Caenorhabditis elegans: one gene and its partners. The protein of the gene in region 2 purifies or fractionates together with the protein of the main gene of each other region. This does not show direct contact. Each region holds a gene or a part of one and is shown on either strand. Other genes may lie near its edges.

Region 1 (7,062 bases), on a different chromosome or scaffold from region 2:
AATTCGACTTTTTTTGACTAAAAGATCGGAAAAATTCAAATATTTTGTAGGAAAATTGGCAATTTTGTAAAAAAAATCGAAAACTGCGTAATTTTAGGAAAAATCGGCATTTTTTGTATTTTTCAGCGAATTTCGAGAAAAATGTCTGAAAACAGAAACCCATAAATTTCGGAAATTAAATTTAAAATTTGATTTTTTTGAAATTGCTTTAAAGCATGCTTATGATACCACAATAACCGAATATATCATAATAAAAAAATTCAAAAAAAATTTTTTTTTCTAAATTTTATATGATTTTTGAAAATTGAAAAAATCTCAGTTTTCCCCCTAATTCCTATTTGAATTTCCGCCAATTGAACTCGTTCGTTGGAGCGCGCTTGCATTGTTTTCATTAATTTTTTAAAATTTATTTTCATTATTTCACTGATTTTCTTCATTTTTTGGGTGTTTTTAATCGGAAAATGAAAGAAACATACAGGAAAAATGCAAAATGTTTATTAAAAAGTAACTGAAAATGCCTAAAACTGTGAATAATACTTATTTCAGGCTCGTCATCGTCGGATCGTATAATTTCAGAGTTTTAGGCATTTTCAGTTACTTTTTAATAAACATTTTGCATTTTTCCCGTATGTTTCTTTCATTTTCCGATTAAAAACGCCCAAAAAATGAAGAAAATCAGTGAAATAATGAAAATAAATTTTTAAAAAATTAATGAAAATAATGCAAGCACACTCCATCGAACAAATTCAATTAGCGGAAATTCGAATCGGAATTAGGGGGAAAACTGTGATTTTTTCAATTTTCAAATATCATAAAAAATTTAGAAAATTTTTTTGCATTTGTTTTACCATGCTATTCGGTCATTATGACCCCATAGGCGCGTTTTAAAGCAATTTTTTCGAGAAAAAAAATTATTTTTTCATGTAGATTCTGCGAATTTTTGAATTTTGGCTAATTTGTGTAAAGTTTTGCAAAATCGTCGCAGGAAAATCAAATTTTTGGGTTTTTATCGAATTTTTTTGTTTTTTTATGCCAAATTTTTTAAAATTTTGCAAAATCTTCGCAGGATAATCAAATTTCTAGGTTTTTCTTCGTTTTTTCGGCCAAATTTTTCAAAAATTTCCATGATTTTCGTCATTTTTCCTCTTCTTCAATCCGTACCATAACATTGCCAACTTTCTCTCCGACAGCTTTCTTAATTTGTTGCAAATCAATTCCAACACTTTTCAGCAACTCATCCGCATTTCCACTTCTCGCCACCATTTTCTCTTCTACAGTGAAATTAATCATTCGACGTCGGGCAGTTTTCCAATCTTCACGAGTTATTGATTGTAGACAATTTTCAATGTCTTCTATCCGATAGGGAAGTCTAAAATTATCGATTTTTTGCCATTTGTTGAGCATTTCCAACCGTAAAGCCGCTCTTGAACGCTTATAGGTCATCGGAGTACGCTGGAAGTAGTGAGCATCGAAAAACTCCTGCATACGACGGAATAATTCGGATTCCTGAAAAAAAAAATCGATTTTTGGGAGATGTTAATGAAAATTTTTGCGTTTTTTTCGCAGTATTGAGCAAAAATTCGAAGGATTTCACCCAGAAAACCCAGAAAATCGCGATTTTTTTTTCTTCCAATTTTTTGATTATCGAAATTTCCGTTTAAAAATTCGAGAAAATTCGAATTATCGATTAAAAATCCAGGAAAAGTGTAATTTTCACTAAAAATTCGGGAAAATTCAAATTTCCAGTAAAAAAATCGGGAAAATTCAAATTTTCGCTCAAAAATACGGGAAACTTTGAAGAAATTCAAATTTTCATTCCAAAATTCGGCAAAACTGAAATTTTCACTAAAAAATTCGGGAAATTTCAAATTTTTGCTAAAAAAACTCGGAAAAACTCAAATTTTCACTAAAAAATTCGGGAAAATTCAAATTTTCTTTAAAAAGTTCGGGAAAAGTCAAATTTTTGCTAAAAAATCGGGAAAACGCAGATTTCCGTTGAAAACTTCGAGAAAATTCGAATTTTCAACTAAAAATCCAGGAAAATTCAAATTTTCACTAAAAAATTCGGGAAAATTCAGTCTTTTGGTAAACATTTCGAGAAAATTCAAATTTCCGTTGAAAACTTCGAGAAAATTCAAATTTCCGCTTAAAAATTCGAAAAAAACTCAACTTTTCGCTTAAAAACTCGGGTAAATTCAAATTTTCGTTAAAAAGTTCGGGAAAATTCAGATTTCCGTTGAAAACTTCGAGAAAATTCAAATTATCGATGAAAAATCCAGGAAAATTCAAGTTTTCACTAAAAAATTCGGGAAAATTCAAATTATCGATTAAAAATTTCGGAAAATTTAAATTTTCGCTTAAAAATCGGAAAAATTCAATTTTTCGCTTAAAAATTCGGGAAAATTCAGATTTCCTTTTAAAAATTCGAGAAAAATCAAATTTAGATTTAAAAATTCGGGAAAATTCAAATTTTCGTTAAAAAGTTCGGGAAAATTCAAATTTCCGTTTAAAACTTTGGGAAAGTTTAAATTTCAACTAAAAAGTCGGGAAAATTCAAATTTTCGCTAAAAAATTCGGAAATAATCAAATTTCCGTTTAAAAATCCAGGAAAATTCAAATTTCCGCTTAAAAATTCGGGAAAACTCAAATTTTTTTCAGCTCAAAAGTTCCAAATTTTCACCTCCATATTTATAATAGTATTCGACGCTTTCGAGTCGGCCGCAACTTTTTCTATCAACGAAGCCCACGATTTTCCAGAATCATTAAGCCGTCGCTTAATAGTCCTACACGGCCTGACGGCCTCTTCTTCTTCAATTTCCACATCATCAATACTCTGATTTTCAAGCTCAGCTTCTGCCGAGCAAGACGTTGAAGGGGTATTTGTATTATTAACAGTTTCGGAATGAAGACTTTCAGCTTTTAGCCTATTCTGACCACTGGATTTCTCAGAAATCGTAGTCGTCGTCGTCGTCGTCCCGTCCAACGAGTTTCTGGCGGCTCGATTTTCAGAATTTTCAGAATTTCCAGCCACTGATGAGCAACGGGAGACCGGTCGAGAGTTGGCGAACGTCAGGGGATACAGATATTGATATTTCTCGGGAAGCTTCTCAATGCGTGGCAGGGGAATGCATTTTTGACGCTTTTGGAAGGCAGTTTGGACGACATGATAGACGTGTGGAGGCATATCCATTGGGAATTGACATTTCTGCAAATAAAAAATAAATAAAAAATGATTAAAATCGGCAGTTTTAGTTTTTAAAAAAGTCGTAATTATGCACGCTCTCCTCAAAGCCGAATAATTATTAGAGCGCGCTTGCTGCGCTTCGCATTTCTGAATCCGCGGTATTTTGACTTTCCACTGAAAAAGCAGATATTTCAGATTTATCGAATTTTCTAGCTTTAAAAAAAATTTTTCTCCAGTTTTCGAACAAACCTTTTGTTAAACAGTGAAAATCGAATTTAAAATGACTAAAATGAACTTTTTTCGTCCACTGGCTGTGAAATGGTTTGAATTTGAAAAAATTAACGGGATTTTTCTTATTTTCTAAATATTTTTCTATTAAAATCGGTTTTAAAACATTTGTGACTTTTAGGGTCAAAAAAATGGGTTAAAACCGATTTTTAATAGAAAAATATTTAGAAAATAAGAAAAATCCCATTGATTTCTTCAAATTCAAACCATTTCACAACCAGTGGACGAAAAATTTCATTTTAGTCATTTTTCGATTTTCACTGTTTAACAAAAGGTTTGTTCGAAAGATGCATTTAAAAAATTTTAAAAGCTAAAAATTCGATAAATCTGAAATATCTGCTTTTTTCAGTGGAAAGTCAAATTACCGCGGATGCAGAAATGCGAAGCGCAGCAAGCGCGCTCTAATAATTCTCCGGCTTTGAGGAGAGCGTGATTATGAAATATTACTGAAAATTAATGTTTTTTAAAATCAATTTCCGGTGAACTTCCGATGATTTCGACGATTTTTCCGCCTCAAAATTACTCGATTTTCACAAAATTAACTAAAAATTGTCCGTTTTGTTGAATTTCAAGTTCAAAATTTGAAAATTCTGAGGAGACATTGCTTTAAAACATACCTATGGTACCACAATGACCAAATATCATAGTAAAATTTTTTTTAATGTTCTAAATTAAAAAAAAAATTTACTATGATATTTGGTCATTGTGGTACCATAGGCATGTTTTAAAGCAATTTCCCCACAGAATTTTCAAGTTTTGAACTTGAAATTCAATAAAACCGGAATTTTTTAGTTAATTTTGTGAAAATCCAGTGATTGAGGGGAGAAATCGTCGAAAACATCGGAAATTCACCGAAAATTGATATAAAAAACAATAATTTTCAGTTAAATTGCTATGAAAAGCTGATTTTCTCCGTTCATACGAGCCAAAACAACCTGAAATTCGATTTTTAGCTCGATTTTTGCCTGGTTTCCCAATATAAATTCAGTTTTTCATGAATTTCTACCTGAACAGCCTCACATATCCACCAAATATTATCGGATCCATTGGGTTCGGTGCTGATGAGCTCTGGCTTGAGCTGTTTCGTCTTACATCGCGGACACTTGAGCCATTCGCTTTTCATCTGAAATTAAATGAGTTTTTTGATGGAAAATTCGAAATTTTAAGGCTAGAAACGAGCACAAAATGAGCACACAAACGCTCAAACTTTGAAACTAACTGTTTTTTTTTCAATTTTCGGAAAATCGATGGGGGGACAGAAGACTGATGGATTTCGTGCGACGTCTCTCTCTCTCTTGCTCTTCTTTATCTTCTTTTGGTCTTTTCACTATGAAATTAGGTATAGTTTTTGAATGGTATCATTTGAAATGTGCGATCACATATCGGGCGGCAGAAAACCGCCTAATTCTCCTTTTCCAGTGCGGGTGGAAAGATCATCGCAAGGCGGTTTAGCCTTAGTGTGATCGCATATCATTACAAATTATCACTTACCACTCGGAGAGCAAAAGTTAATCAGTTTTTAAATCAAAAAAAAAATCAACTTACTAAGGCGGGAAGTGGTCCGGGTGGCATTATCCTTTTGAAAATTGTCTGAAAATTGCGATTGTTGCAGTGAAAGTGGCACAAAAATACGTAGAATTCGAAATTTGAGTTGAAAAATCGAAAAAATCACCGGAAAAGCTCGAAAAATCGATGAAAACGCGATAAATTGACTTAAAAATGTCTTCTTTTTTTCGAAAATGCTTCCCCGTAAATCGAATCGTGGTGAGACCCACCGCACGTGACGCATGACCGCGACGCGTCTAACGGTGAGGAAACCCAAGAAATTTCTCGATTTTTGCTGAAAAAGCCTGTTTTCGAGCGAAATAACTCAGATTTTCGGCGAAAAAAAAAACACAAATTTATTCGAGATCCAAACGTATCAAACAAGAAATTTGCTCAAAATAGCTCAAAAAAGGGAAAAATATTTGGAAAATAAATCGAAATCAAAAAAAAGTTATTTCGTCGATGTGGAGATGTAGAGCACATTGTTCCCGCGGATGAACGCATCGCCGTACTTGTTCTGAAGTTGTCCGTTGCTGTATTCTTCGGTTTGTTCGAGCGCGATGTTCATATATCTGAAAAATTAGATTTTTTCGTAATTTTTCTGGAAGAAAAATTAATTTTCAGGTGTTTTTAATCAGATTTTTTGATTTTTCCCAATCACTAACCCGTCGAGACATGCGAGAATGCCACGGTAGTCGACGCCAGAGTTGAGCTTCACCACAACCGGCTTTCCGATGACTTTCTTCAGGAATTCGGCGGGATTCTGTCGTTTGCTCATTTTCTAGAGTGCTGAAATTGAGAAAAAATATTACTTTCACGGGTTTTTAGAGTAAAAATATGTTAAAATCAAGAGAAAAATGCGTTAAAATTGCGATTTTGCTTCAAAAAAAATTATTTTCTACAGTGTCCGCAAACACCGTGACGCAAAAATGCAGACTTGCGAAAAAAATGTTTTTTTCGGATTAAATCGACTTATTTTTTGAGAATTCAACTCTAAATCTGCAATTTTCCGAGACAATTTAGAAAAAAGAAGGCTTCATTTATAGAAAACAAAAATAGTTGAAAGTGCACTGTGATCAGCCTGTGTGTGTGTGTAATTGGACAAAAAAAACTGTTTCCAGACGAAAAAATATTGAGTATAACACAAATATGAATTGATAGCTGCTTGGGAAGGGCAAAAGTGTACATATAAATGCATTGAGAAAAGGACTAGTTGAGTCGGATTTTGAAGATTTTTTGTTTGAAAGAAGCGCCAAGATTTCGTGGTATATTTGATATGAATTTGAATTTTTCTAGGTTGGAAAATTGAGAAAATTGAGAAAAAAAATGGGGAAAAAATTATAGAAAATTAAAAAAAATTGACTAATTTTCTCCTTGTCCCGAATCCTCGTCATCATCATTATAGTCCGAGCCGCATTCGTCCTCGTCCTCCTCCTCTTCATCGTCGTCATAGTCACACCCGAAATCGTCGTCTGAAAAAAATCGATATTTAATTGAAAATTTGGCAAAAATCCGGGTTTTTAACTGAAAAATCCAATTTTCTCGGGAATTTTACAACTAAATTTGCGAAAAATAGACTTTTTTTTGAGGTTTTTGAGGTCACGGGGTTCTGACCTTCCTCATTGAATTTTTCGCGCTCCATTGACAATCGCCCGCCGGAAAACGTGTGGGAAAGTCGTGTACTCCACACGGACAAATACATTTAGTTTTACAACTAAAATCGAGCCGCGGCGCGACACGCAACGCGCCGTAAATCTACCCCAGATATGGTGGCCTGGACTAGTTCGGCAAAAACTCTTCCATTTCAATTTATAAGGGAAGCCAGAAATCCGTGAATTCGTGCGATTTCTGGCAATTTACCTGAAAAATCGGCAATTTTTTTTGAAAAAAGTGTATAATTTTGCGGATATTTCGACTAAAAACTGACAATTTTTGAATTTTACCAAAAATAGCCAGTTTTAGTGCAAAAAACGCAAAATATAAGACATTTTTAGCGTAGAAGATGAAATTTTTAGTCTTAATTCACTTTAGACATCAAAAATGTC
Region 2 (7,062 bases):
AAATTCGGTTAAAATTATAGAAAACACTTTCCAATAAAACCGGTCTTTTTGTTATAATCATGTGAAATTTTTCTTCTTTTTTTCATTTAAAAAAAAGTAAAATTTGATGATGATGATGAGAAAATTGAAAAAAATAGCATAATGTCTTTTTTTAAGTAGTTCAGAAGTGTTAATCAGTGCATGAGTAGTGCATACCGGTGGTGGTTCACTTCGTTGTCCTTTTGGACGTGGTGGAACTTTTTTACGTGGATCCGATGAATCGCCACCTCTTCCATAGATCGGTACAACTTTATTCCCATCAATTGCACTTTTACACACTGGACAAACTTGATTATTTGGACGAGTATCAAGCCATTGACTCAGACATGGCCAACAAAAAAGATGTCCACATAGGGAAACGACTGCATCTTTTGCTGCGTCCAAACAAATATTACATTCAAATCTGCAAAATTACGATTATTAAATTTTGGAAATTCTGGAAACTTGTATTTTTAGAAACGGTGAAAATACGAAAAATTTGAAAAGAGTCAGTTTTTAAAATTCTTCGATTTTTTTGTCAATTTTTCGGGAAAATTATTAGTTTTGATAACTTTTTTTTGAAGACATACTGCTTGTAAATTCAAAACTTAGGCCATTTTCGTTTTTCCTACTTTTTTTGAAATTTTTGAAAATAACTGTAATATTTTCTGTCGGATTTTTTTTCTCGTATTTCGGTTTCTTGTTGATTTTCCGGAAAACTCCTTTTTTAAAAATAATTTTCGGTTATCTTTGAATCTGTTCTCATTAAAATCAAAACATTTCTGGTTAATTCGTAGTTTTTCGGATGTTTTAAAGTGTCGTAAAAGTATTTAGATAAACTGCCGTTTTTTGAAAATTTACAGCAAAAATAGAGAAATTATTCGGAAAAATAATTAAAAAAAAAAAACAGAAAATATGTAATTTTAGATTTCTCAAAAAAAATTAATCAATAAAAATTCGTTTTTTTAATTTCCGGTCATTTGTTATGTCTAACGATTAAAACATCGATTTTTTTCTAAATTTACCTCGCAGATTCATCTTTATTACTGGAGCTCGTGGGCTCCTCGGATGGAGCTTTCGTCTCCGACGCCATTGGCTCCGAACTCTGAAATTCCTTATTTAATTCTCTCTGAAATCACGTATTAAAATATATAAAAATGGTAGAGATAACCATAGAAGTTTTTAAAAAATGAACATTGGAAATTGAAATTGGATATTTCATTAGGTCTGGAATTGGAAAATTGGGAGATTGGAATTTTAACCAGCAATTGAAAAAAACAAACAAAGAAAAAATAAATAAAAATTAAATTTTACAATGGAGGTACAACAATTCCTTGCTCCTTTCTCTCGAAATATCTTTGCCTCGCTGCCTCAATATCTTCTTCTGTATTCCGCTGCTTCAGAATTTCTTTGAGTCCGTCTAATCTTGCTTCTTTATCGATTTTCTTCGGCTTCAGCTTATCTTTAAGCGAGATTTTCGGCGCTTTTTCAGATTTTTCAGATTTCCCTTCAGGCGATCTTCTACTCCCTGATTCTCTCGATTCTATGGACTTCCTTGAAGTTGGTGACGGGCTTGAAGTCCTTCTCCGAGCTCGTGGAGCTCTTGCACCTTCATCATCTGAAGATGGAGGTGTTGGAGTGTAGTTTCGCTGACGGATTCTCTCTGCGTGAGTCGTTGCTTTTTTTTTTGATACCGTATTCAGGCCAGGTTTAAGATCTCCTTCGAAATTTTTTTGTGGAGGTTTTGGTGCTTTTTCCTCGTCAGAATCATCGGAATAAATTGATTTTTTAAGCTTTTCGGCTGGTTTCTTATCCGATTTTTCCGGTTTCGGATCAATTTCTTCATCAGAATCTTCCCGTTTTCTCACATTTTTCTGCTCTTTCTTCCTCTGTTTAATAGCTGTAGGATCTCTTGCCAAATCGTTTAAAAGCGTCCTTCCCATACCAATTTCCCATAATTTCTGTTTCTGAACACTTGTCATATCATTAAAAGCAGCTTCTTCAGCTTCTTGTTCCCGATGTTTCTTCACTTCTTCCTGTTGCTTACGGTATGCTCCAGTTACAAAAACTTCTTTATCATCAAATTCATCGCCTTCTTTCTCTCGTTCTCTGAGTTGTTGGCGTTCTTCACGAGAAAATTGTTCGAGTTGGCGACGAGCATGGGCTTTAATGATGTTCTCCGCGTATTTCGATTCACGATTTTTGTCCGCTTTTCGAGCTTCTTCTTTCTGCAAAAACAAAGCTGTTAGTTGAATTTTTCAGCCTAAAAATACTGAAACTTCTGAAACAAACCATTTTTGGTTAAAGATGTGTTTTTTTTTCTTTTTTAACGAAAAATTTTCGATTCTCTAAAAACCCGAAAAATCGAAAATGTTCGTTTATTCTTGTCCATTTTTTAGATTTAAAAAAATATCAAAATTGTTAGTGGAAACTTATTATATAAATTGTTTTATTTGTTGAAAATTTTTTTTTCATATTTTCTTATCGAAAATTCTTTGTTAATGGTTTTAAAATCTACACTTTTTCGTTTTATTTTTAGTATTTTTTTTTTCGATTTTCAACTTTTCGAGCCCTCACTTTTTCATTCTTAATCGCCTGAATTTCATCGTAATTCCCGTCATAATCGAAAATCGTCGGATCCTCGGCTTCTGCCTTTTGATGTTCTCGTTCTGCTGCTTTTTGCACACGAATAACTGAAGCTGATGCCATATTGGTAGCTGTGGCTGGCTGAAAAGTAAGAAATTTATAATTCAGAAATTTATAAAAGCTTTTCTAAATCGAAAAATAGTCAAAAACTAAAAATGTTTAAAATTGCTAGTAGGAAAAAATTATTTTTGATAATTTTCGGTCATTTCTTTGTTGTTTGAAAACTTTTTCTCCTACACTAAATTTTTCAAACTTCTCTGAATTTTACCACATTATCATCATCATCATCGTCTCCAAAAACACTGGAAACTCGAATTGGAGCAGCTTTCGGTTCATCTTTTTTCCGAATATTTAATCCTACATGCCGTTTTGATGCCATCTAAAAACTTTTTTATTTTATTTTTCCAATTAAAAGAATCCAAAGGATACAGTTTCAGATATAAAACACCGCTGTGAACGGGAATTGGAAATAAAAATTAAACAGGAAGAATAAATAAAGTCGTAATTTTTTTTTCAAAGAAATCAGAAAAATCACCCGGTGCCCGGCAAAAAAGAAGTAACGAGAAAAAATGAAAAAACGAGAATAAAAATGCAATTGGAATGACAATTTTTGTGTGTATTTGTGACTATTTGATAACTTTGGGATGCAGTTAGAAATTATTAAATAAAAATAAATAAGTAAAAATTAAAATAAAAAGATTCCTATTCCAATCCCATCCATGTGGTGAGTCCTTGAACAGCTGTTACAATCAATGGCTGCCAGCAGACGAGATAACGGATCCAGTCAAGCAATTTTCCATAGAATAAATGAGGTTTCTCCCATCTGAAATTGAAAATTTTTAAAGAATTTATAATTAAATTTGATTTTTTCAAAAAACTAACGGATTTTTAAACATTCTCTGTAAATCGACACGTTCTTTGCAATACGGGCATGTTTGAAGTTTTCCAACAACTACCCATCCTCTGATACAGAATTCGTGAAAAACGTGGCCACATGAGAGTCTGAAATTATTGATTTTAAGTTTAACAAGAGCTTTCTAGCCTCATGTGTCGATTTACTTTGTTAAATGCAAAAGGGTGCGCGCCTTTAAAGAGTACTGTAAATTTTAAATTTCTGGTGCACCGGATTTTCGTCAATTTTTCAACAAAAAAATGTTAATCAAATTTTATTTATTGAGGCACCACGGATTCAAGATCTGGTGGAATTCCGGATCTACGTTTTCCGGACCTGGCACCGTGCCAACGCAAAAAAAAATTTCTCGGAGGTCTTGATTTTATTTTTCTGTGTAACTTTTATTCGTATATTTGAATTTTTAATTATCAAATAAAAAATTTCACGAAAAACTGTGGAAAAATCGATGAAAATTCGTTCAAAAGCTTCATAATATCAGTTTTTAAAAATTTGGTGCTTTCTGGTGATTCTCGAAGAAAACTGGAAAACTACTTATTAATTCTTTTTTTTAATTAAAAAAAGTGAAAATTCCAAAAATCTGCTGAACTTCTCCACTCACTTATACAATTTTTCATCTTCATCTTCAACCATTTTCGTTGTAACCACAGCATCTGCATCATGAACATGTTCCGAATCATCAAGACGTCCTCCACAAACAGCACAGACACCGTCTTCTAGATGCTTTTTAGGAAGTCCTTCAGGAGTGTAATACTGAAAAATTGGAATTATATTGATTATTTTTCGGCAGCAGGTGAAAAATGTATTTTACCCCGATTCTCGACGCCATTCTCGCCGTGCAAATGTGAGCAAAATCCCGGCCGAGCACTCCGTAATACACACCATAGAACATGAAAAGGATGCCTGGAAGCTTGAAAATTAGATTTTTTCAAAATTTTTCCAAAATTTCTCACCGGCATCCATTAGTGTTGGCTGTGAAACTCCGAATAAAACATGAAATCCTAATAAAGCTCCCATCATGATCAAATATCCAACAACTCCGAGTACATAACTCAGTTTATGCAAAAATAGAAACCATTTGTAGACGAATCTTAAATTATTTCGTTTAATTCGTCTTTTTTATTCTTAAAAACCTTGGTGTTCCTCCACTGATATGTTGAGCCGAGGCTTTCAACCAAATAAAAGCTGAAAAAATGCAGAAAACAAGCCACGTGGCCAGGAATCGATACCAGGATCGGTTGAAACAAACATAAACTGGAATTGTGAGCATTCCTATTAATGTACACATCTGTAAATGTTTGAATATTAAATAAATGTTTAAAATTAATAAAATTAAATACCTGATAAGATTTAAAATGCTTCCTCTTCCAGGTGACCAGAAAAATCTGTCCAACGATGACAGAAATCATGAAAATAACCATCATTTCCATGTGCATCGCTTCGTGTCCTTTATGCTTTTCGTGCATTTTTCGGTGCTCCTCTGCCCATTGTTCTTCTTCTGTTAGCTCGTGTGGAGGGGGCTGAAAATAAAAATTTATAATAGAAATCATTTTACTTTTAATTAAACTATTTTAAAATCAATAAATACTTACCATTCCTTCCTGAACTTCATTCTGCAGCCTAATTGCCCCATGTTGGCCCATTCTATGGCCTGAAAAAATAGAAATTATTTTGGAAAACGTTATTGATTTTTCGAGAAGGTAAAGCGGACTCCCGCGTGGAAAGTGACCAATTTTAAAAATTGAACGAAAAAAACACTTTAAATTCAATAATTGATAAAAATAGTTGAGTTGGTTAACTTTGCGACAAGGAAATGTCGGAGAAAGATTTGCGGTGAAAATCGAAATAAAATAGGAGAATGTCATCTGCGCGCGGCATATCTGCAAATCTTGTGTGCCAGGGTTGCAAAGAACGCTCCGCCCACAAACATTCGAATGCAAATTTTGGCGTTTTGCTTCTTTTTTCTCTTTTTTCTGTATAACCAAACAAATATATTTTATATTATCCCTTTTTAGAGCAAATTTATCTTTTTTTTTCAGAAAAATGAGCAACGGTCAACTCGTGTCTCAGGTGACAGTTGGTCACGATAAACCATTAGATCGTGAGAAAGTATGTCCGATGCTTCTTCGCGTCTTCGTTGCTAATAATCGTCATAATCCGATGAGCGAGTACAATAGTAGAAATGGAGGATCTGTTCCACCCAGCGAACTTCAAATGCATACTTGGTACGCGGTAGAAATAGAAAAATTAGTACTATTTGGCCGAAATTATAGAACTTTTGTCTAATATTTTCAATAATACATTCAAACTTGTAAGTTTGGTTAACCTGAAGTATTTTTTTTATTTTCAGGATGGACTGTTCTCTGCGTGAATTGACCAGTCTAATCAAAGAAGTGAATCCGGACGCTAGAAGAAAGGGCACCACATTCGATTTCGCTATTGTGCAGGCAGACCGCGGCTCGCCAAGATACATTCTACGCGATGTGGGAAACACGACGAATGGAGAGCGTGGCATTGATGACAACAAAACTGTATGTGATTTTTGACACCACGGAACCATTAGAATTTTATTTGAATTCGGAAATAATATCTCCAATATTAAATTCGTTTTGATTGAACTTTGTTTTTCAGCTACAACAATGCAAATTCGAAGTCGGTGATTTCGTCGACGTCGCGATTTCCTTGCCAAGTCAAGGACGTCGTTTCAATAACCGGGAGCAGGGAGACCGTTTCGATCATCGTCAACGCCAACGTAGTCCGATTCGCTAGACGCCTAACTGTGTGTTAAAATTCAATGATACTCTTCTGTATTTATTAATGTGTCGATTCTTTTTTTTATAACGTGCAATGTAATATTCTGCGTAAATCATGTTTTCCTTTACAATTGTTCAACATACTTAACAATTTACAACAAAGTTTACTTTCACATTTACTGGTCAAAATTGCAAGCTATTTAATTTTAAAAAAGTTTTGTTTTGTGATTATGCAAAAATCGGAAAAATGATCGCGATCAAACTGCTTTCAGCGAAAACTAAAATTTCTTCTCGAATAATTTATTGCTTAATAAATGATAATGGACGGGGGGTAGAGCAAGTAAGATTATTGAAAATCGAAATTTCCAAAAACGTTCTAATTGGAAGTTTCTTTCGCCTTCGAAAACTCCTAATAAGAAAGTTGGAGGAAATTCGCACAGAAAAAAAGGCAGGTAAAACAGGAGTATCTACTATTCAAACTATGTGTCAATGTACTCTACTCTAGATTAAATTACAAAAGGATTCTTAGTTGAAATTATAAAAACATAAAGGGGAATACGATACAATTATGGGGAAAAATGTAATAAAGAATGTTCAGAAAAACAAAAGCATGGGAATTTAAGTACTTGTATAGAGAGTAGGTATAGGGTAGTGGATAAAAAATGTTGGTAATATGTAAAGGGGGTGAATACGTGACAATAAAAGAGAGAATCTCGGGATTACGCCCAGAAGTTT
Region 3 (7,062 bases), on a different chromosome or scaffold from region 2:
AATCTCCAAACGATGCGATCCAACAAGCCCACAGGCTTAAACTTGTCAGAATATGACGGAATGGAAGATTTTTTGGCCGGGATACCTGCAAAACGAAAAAGTAACGGGCTTCGAATTTCCCCCCCCATGTTTTCAAATGGAAGAGGTGGCCGTGAATAAAGCTAACCTCGACCGGGGGTCGCGACTCGCGACAAACGGGAAAACTCAAAGAAATTTCGTACTGTCGCTACTTTTTTTGAGTTTTCCTGTTTGTCGCAGGTCGCGACCCCCGGTCGAGGTTCGCTTTTTTCACGGCCACCTCTTCCATTTGAAAACATGGGGGAAATTCGAAGCCCGTGAAAAGTTAGGCCATGCAATGCGATGTGGTGGCCGAGGTTTTGAAAACTCGGTTACTCTCATGTAAAAAATCTTGAAGTTGAAGCAAATTTGCGTACATGAAACCCATTTACCTTGCTAGCAGTTTTAGAAAAATTTGGGATTTTCTCATACTAATGAGGGAACGTCTTAATTGTCGACAAATTGCGTACCCCGAGGAACCCACTAATTCAGTCCTAGGTTTAGGCATAGGCTAAGGCATAGGCTTAGGCGTAGGCCTAGGCTTAGGCTTAGGCTTACACGTGGTGTCAGAGTGCCTCATTTCGGCTTGATCTACGTAGATCTACAAAAAATGCGGGGGAAGAGCCGCAGAGTTTTCTACTGATTTCGCATGGTTAAGAGTGTGCTGACGTCACATTTTTTGGGGCAAAAATTCCCGCATTTTTGGTAGATCAAACCGTAATAGCACAGCCAGGCACCACGTGCGCTTAGGCTTGGGCTTTCCGTAGTCCTTCGGGCGCGTTTTTCTCAAAAATGATACGTGGTACAATTTCAGGTTTTTTTCCGCTCCAAAATCTAGTTATAATTTGTGTCCGGTAGAGCGCGTTTGCACTCACTTTCTTTCCCGATTTCCCTTCTCGAATCCTCTCCAATTCCTTCTCGCCAACCCAACTGTGCTCACTCGGCGAGCACTTGAAAAATAGGAAAAACAGCGAAAAAGTGACCAACGATACACCGGCGTGCACATAGTAAACCGACGTCCATCCACCAGACGAAGAGCATAACCATCCCGAAACTGGCATTGTAAATATATTTGAAAGTTGTGTATTTCCGGTTAATAGGCCAATGAATACTCCGTGCTCGTATGGGGTCGCCCAATTTGCTGTAATTGAGCCAGCGAGGGGAAATGTGGCTGAAAATGCCATTCCTTGACAAATACGGGCGGCCACAAACCATCCGTAGCCAATGGTACTTGCCAACGGGATAAGGGCTGTTGAAACTGGAAAAATTGAGTGCAATACATCATATTTGACGCGCAATTTTAAAATTTAAAAAATGGAAACGCGCTCTAATGATGCTTGGTGTACTCCTCTCGGACAATAAATGTCAATAATTTTTGAAAAATCGATAATTTTTTTTTAATTTCAGAAAAATTCGTGAAATCTGTTTTATTTTGCGCGTAAAATATGATTCTTAAATACTTAATTCAGTATTTTACGCACGTGGTATCAGAGTGTCTCATTTAGGCTTGATCTACGTAGATCTACAAAAAATGCGGGAGAAGAGACGCAGAGTTCTCAACTGATTTCGTATGGTTAAGAACGTGCTGACGTCACATATTTTCGGGCAAATAATTCCCGCATTTTTTGTAGATCAAACCGTGATGGGACAGCCTGACACCACGTGCTTACGCGGAATTTTTCACAATTTTTTGTGCTTCATGCACCATGTTTTTGTTTCGAAAAATCAGATTATTGTTTTGCGCGTCAAATTCAACGCCCACTGTGCAATACACCATATTTGACGATCAATTTCAAAAATTTTGTATGCTTTCGATGCATGCTTTTTGGGGTACTGTAGCTTTGAAAATACGCATGCACTGGATCTGACGACAAAATGCACAGTTTTTATAAAATTAGTCTATAGAAATTAGTCAGTTTTCTCGAAACAAATAAAAACTACAGAAAACTCGGCCACCGATATTTTTTTTTTTCGCGGCCACGATTGACGTCATACCTCCCGAAATAATTCCGGCGACAATGAAGACAGGTTTATGCGGCAAATGTTGAAAAGAAATGGAAAATGGAATCGAGGCGGCAAGACTTCCAATAGCCACACACGATTGAAGAAAATTCGACTCTGATTTGGTATAGTTCACTGAAAAAATCAACTATTTTGGCGGCCGCCAATGGAAAAACTCGGCCACCGAATTAAAAAAAAAACCTTTTGAAGTTGAAGTACTATTATCATCTTGCATACAAATTTTTGTAAAATTATAAGTATTCATATTTGAAAGAATCGAGGTCAAACACAGTGTGGCACATATTAAAATCTGCAAAAAAATCGTGAAAATTCAATTTTCCGGGGGTTTTGAGTTCAAAAAGTACCAGAAATCGGACAGGAACCGGCGAGTTGACCATGGTGCATCAGAAACCGGAATTTTAAATAAGTAAAAAAATTTATGATGCTCGTGGTGATAACGAAAAGTGCAGTGATCAATTTAAGGGAAATACTGCTGGGGGATTAAACGTTGACACTGTCAACTTGATAGTGTTAATTTGATCAATGCTTTGTACTTGTTTTTTGCAGGAAAAATTCTTTGAAAATTGCAAGACTATAGTATAGTCTGAAAATTTGATGAAATCTAAAACTTTAATAAATACCGTTAATTATCATTATTTTTATGAAATTTTAATATAATCTACTTAAAATTTAATTTTCTAGGCATCTGTGAGCTTAAATTTTCGATTATCCCTCGCCAAATTAAAGATTTGCAGACTTTTAAGCTTATAAGCTTATTTCAGTGAGAGAGAGCATTGTGAGAAGAGAAACGCAGACGAGGCTGGCGCGTTTCTCGTGCTCTGACGCGAGTCTCGATTTGCTTGCGCATTTCTCGTGCGCGCGACGTTCATTTTATTTTTCCGATTTTTTTTCAGTTTTTCTGAACTTTTCTTCTTGAATTTGTGATTTTTTATTTATTTTTCACGTCTTGTTGCAAAATAACTGATTTTTCACACAAAATATTCGAATTTTCAGGTCGGCAACATGGGATTCTTGTGGAAAACTGCAAAACTCGGAATTAAAGTTGGACTCGTCGCCGGCGCCGTCAAACTGTCAATCGATAACGATATTTGGTCGACTAACAATGTTAAAGTATTAGTTTTCCCCCGTTTTTCCACGAAAATTTTCATTTTCAGGGCAGCGAACTGTATCAAAAGCTTAAAAAGTACATTCTTCCCGGCACCGTCGTCTTTCCAGAGCAGGTTTTATCGATTTTTTCTCTGAAAATGCAATTTTTTTCTTATTTTCAGCTCCCAACAGTCGAAGATGTGCAGCTGAAGGCCGGTGGAAAGTGGAACAGTGCTGTTGACTCGGTAGGCTGCATTTTTGAGAGGAAACACGGAAAAATTGCTGCGAAAGTTGGAAAAAAGTCCTGGAAAATGGAGATTTGGCGCCGAACGTTCAAGAAATTCCATAATTTCAAAAATCTATCTGAAAAATTGAAAAATATAAATTTTCAGTCATTTTTAGTCAAATTTCAGAGCTAAACGTCGAAAAAAGTGCCTAAAACTAGGAAAAATATGACAAAAAGACACAAATTTTGGAGAAAATTGCTGAAAATAATGCAAAACACTTTTTTTCACAAAAAGCGAAATTCAAAAAAAATTCCACGTCAAAAATTAACCAAATGCAAGTACGCTCCATCGCACTTTTTTCCAATTTCTGACTCGAAAAGTCTTAAACTTCTGGTTTTGTAGGAAAGATAATGCAAAACGCAATTTTTAGTCCAAAATTCAGAGAAAATTCTGAAATTGTTTTTAAAAAAAATGCAAGCACACTCCATGGCACTTTTTTTTCAAAATTTCGCGTAGAAAATTACAGACATTAGCAAAATTCCGACGATTTCGCTGCGAGACCAGAAATATTGTAGGAAATTCAAACATTATCCGAAAATAATGCAAACGCGCTCTATCGCACTTTTCTCCAAGTTCCCACTCAAAAAGCATAGAAAATACCTGAAATTGCCGTTTTTTTTCACCGGAATTTCAAATTTACGCGATTTCGCTGCGAGACCCAAGCTAGTGCAGTGGAGCGCATTTCCAACAATTTCAAACTCAATTTTTTTCAGGTATTCACCACAATCGAGAACGTCCCATCAAGCGTGAACACAGTGGCCAATCGACTCATCAATAATAAATAAATTCCCCATAAAAATTATCGATTTATCGATTTTCCCCCCGAATCCTCGTGTATTCCTTCGTTAGAATGTACTTTTTCCCTCCTCATTTTCTAGAAGTATTTGTGTGTGTGCTCTATGAAAAAATTTGCAATTTTTGACTTTAAACGGACGGTGCATTATATTATTTTATCAGTTCCCATCGTTGATCAATTTTCTCCACTGATTATCAATTCACTGATAAGCTCACACTGCCTGCCCAACTCAATTCATCGCAACTTCTTCTCCCTGCTTTTTTTTGCCATGAATTCGACGGTGGCTTCCCGTTTCTCATGGGGACTCATTCTGGCGTCGATCGATTTTTTGGCGTGCCTACTGTTCGCCTGCCTGCATGATGGAACTTTCAAATTCGCGAATTTTACTTCGCAATTTGGCGATTTTTCGTTTTTTACGAGGTTCGATTGATTGGTGGCCGAGTTAATTTTAGGCCACGAAAAATGAAAATTGAAGCCGAGTGTCATTTTCGCTGGAATTCTAATTTTCAGTGTGTAAAAATATAGAAAACTGCAAAAAATTTTGAATTCCCGCCAAAAACTAACGTTACGAGACCCAAGTACAGTGGAGCGCAGTTGCAAAAAAAAATTTTTAATGATTTTTTGCAACTACGCTCCACAGTCCTTGGGTCTCACAACGTTGAAACTAAAATTTTGGAATTTCTCCCATAACTTCTTATAATAACGATATTCGGTGGTCTCGACACGACATATTTTCATTAAATAAAACGGGTGTGCGCCTTTAAAGAGTACTGCAGTTTCAAACTTTAGTTGCTAAGCGTATTTTCAACAAAGCAACGAAAATTTGAACTTACAGTACTCTTTAAAGGCGCACGCCCGTTTTTATTAAAACAAAAACTTGTCGTGTCGAGACCGGGCACCGTAGTTTTGACGCTAAAAATAAGATTTATGAAAAAGCGGGTTTCCAGAAAATTTCACTTTTCAAACTTTGATGAAAATTTGAAGTTTCCAGCCAAAATCGCTGCGAGACAGTGGAACGAGTGCAGTAGAGCGAAATTGCTGTAAAATTTTGAAAAAAAAGTGAGAAATTTAAAAACACGGATTTCTGGCCTCCCCCGTAAATTGAAATGGAAGAGTTTGCCGAACTAGGCCACTTTGGCTCGCCCATATCTGGGGTAGATTTACGGCGCGTTGCGTGTCGCGACGCGATTTTAGTTGGAAAACTAAATGTTTTTGCCCGTGTGGAGTACACGACTTTCCCACGTGTTGTCCTCTAGGTGATTGTCAATGGAGCGCAAAAAATCCAATGAGGAAGGCCAGAACCCCGTGAAAAAGTACGCGTTTTTGAAGCAATTCATCGAAAGAAGACAGTAAAAAAAAAGTCAAAAATTCAAATTTCCAATAGAAAAACCACCAAACCCAACAATTTTTCCAGCACAATCGACCTATTCTTGCTGCAATTTTTCCGTTTTGCACTATGGATGGTGCCGGCGGCAATCCACGTGGCCAACAAGGCGGACACGTTGACAATGTGGAAAGAGGTCGGTGGCCGCGTGGCCTAGAAATCCCGAAAATTTCAAATTTTCAGCCAATTTTCTGCTCGGCACTGCTCATCTGCGCGGCGAGCCCCACAAAATTGCTCCTCCTCACAGAAAAGCTGAAGCCCGATGAGTTCCTCACTTTCGGCGACACTGCCTTCCTTGTCTGGAATTTCATTTCCGCGATCATTTTGAACTCCTCGTGGACAAGATACTTCTCGCGAACTCCGTCTTCATATATAATTCTGGAGGATGAGGATGTAAGTGCGCTCCGCTGAGAAAATGTTTTGATCACCCCCACGATTTTCAGCTCGAGGTGGCTCCAAAACAAACGTTTGAGCTTATTTTCCGCCTGCTCCAATACTGCAAACGTGAATGGCTCTGGCATATTTCCGGATTCTCGTGGCTCTTTATTTATTCGATCAGTAAGAGAATATCCATCGGGGGTTTTTTGTTTCGAATTTAAAAAAAAACACAAGTGGAAGAGTTTTTAAGATTTCTAGGCCACGCACCCACTCCAAAACCCCAATTTTCAGCCCGTATCTTCGTTCCCTATTACACGGGACAAGTCATCGCTACCGTGGTCGCCACAAAATCGTACCCAGCCCTCTCCAACGCTGTCTACATCATGACAATCATCTCGTTGGTGAGCGCTGTCGCCGCCGGATTCCGTGGAGGATCCTTCGAGTACGCCTACGCAAGGATCCAGAGGGCAATCCGCTACGATTTGTTCCACGGACTCGTGAAACAGGATGTCGCTTTCTATGATGCTCACAAGACCGGAGAGGTGACTTCTCGTCTGGCTGCTGATTGTCAGACTATGTCGGATACAGTTGCGTTGAATGTTAACGTTTTCCTCAGGTAGGTGTGGGTCCGTGACCGAAGTTCCCAGATCACATGACCTAATTTTCCCAAATTCTTCCAGAAACTGCGTTATGCTCCTTGGATCGATGATCTTCATGATGAAGCTTTCGTGGCGCCTCTCCCTCGTCACATTCATCCTCGTCCCAATTATCTTCGTCGCCTCCAAAATCTTCGGAACATATTATGATGTAAGTGCGCTCCAGCGAAAACGTTTTTCTAAAGTTTTGACCCCAAAATTCTGTCAAAGTGCCCCATTTTGGTTTGATCTTCGGAAAATGCGGGAGAAGAGGCGCAGGCTTTGCAACTGATATCACATGGTTAAGATTGTGCTGACGGCACATGGAAAAATTCCCACATTTTTTTGTAGATCAAACCGCACCTGACACCACGTGAAATTTTTGACAAGTCAAGAAAAATTTCGGCAATTGTGAAA

What was found.
Region 1: the proteins of ccdc-55 (region 2) and Y71G12B.13 fractionate together in Caenorhabditis elegans (co-fractionation; one large-scale study listed by BioGRID). This does not show direct contact.
Region 3: the proteins of ccdc-55 (region 2) and W04C9.6 fractionate together in Caenorhabditis elegans (co-fractionation; one large-scale study listed by BioGRID). This does not show direct contact.

What each region holds. Positions count from the first base shown.
Region 1 is NC_003279.8:1,700,105-1,707,166, reverse strand, and holds the start of Y71G12B.13 (RING-type domain-containing protein), read right to left. Parts: upstream 5,063-7,062; 5' UTR 5,045-5,062; coding exon 5,018-5,044; intron 4,596-5,017; coding exon 4,479-4,595; intron 3,206-4,478; coding exon 2,681-3,205; intron 1,507-2,680; coding exon 1,412-1,506; intron 1,370-1,411; coding exon 1,162-1,369; intron 1-1,161. Other genes in the region: lsm-6 (U6 snRNA-associated Sm-like protein LSm6), read right to left, coding at 5,469-5,589, 5,683-5,795; ubc-3 (UBC core domain-containing protein), read right to left, coding at 6,380-6,489.
Region 2 is NC_003281.10:4,165,723-4,172,784, forward strand, and holds ccdc-55 (Nuclear speckle splicing regulatory protein 1 homolog), read right to left. Parts: upstream 3,044-7,062; coding exon 2,933-3,043; intron 2,746-2,932; coding exon 2,596-2,745; intron 2,247-2,595; coding exon 1,329-2,246; 3' UTR 1,226-1,328; downstream 1-1,225. Other genes in the region: E3 ubiquitin ligase rnf-5, read right to left, coding at 196-442, 1,044-1,111; E3 ubiquitin ligase rnf-121, read right to left, coding at 3,367-3,487, 3,547-3,666, 4,176-4,327, 4,386-4,477, 4,528-4,664, 4,708-4,862, 4,915-5,094, 5,167-5,217; C16C10.4 (putative histone deacetylase complex subunit SAP18), read left to right, coding at 5,618-5,799, 5,925-6,105, 6,206-6,343; Argonaute protein hrde-1, read right to left, coding at 7,047-7,062. UniProt on the Caenorhabditis elegans protein: Required for the cessation of distal tip cell migration at the end of larval morphogenesis.
Region 3 is NC_003279.8:485,535-492,596, forward strand, and holds the start of W04C9.6 (MFS domain-containing protein), read right to left. Parts: upstream 2,859-7,062; 5' UTR 2,457-2,858; coding exon 2,424-2,456; intron 2,369-2,423; coding exon 2,260-2,368; intron 2,194-2,259; coding exon 2,053-2,193; intron 1,316-2,052; coding exon 933-1,315; intron 86-932; coding exon 1-85. Other genes in the region: W04C9.2 (MICOS complex subunit MIC13), read left to right, coding at 3,082-3,189, 3,234-3,299, 3,348-3,410, 4,166-4,237; haf-4 (ABC-type antigen peptide transporter), read left to right, coding at 4,517-4,668, 5,663-5,768, 5,816-6,025, 6,076-6,190, 6,302-6,626, 6,691-6,817.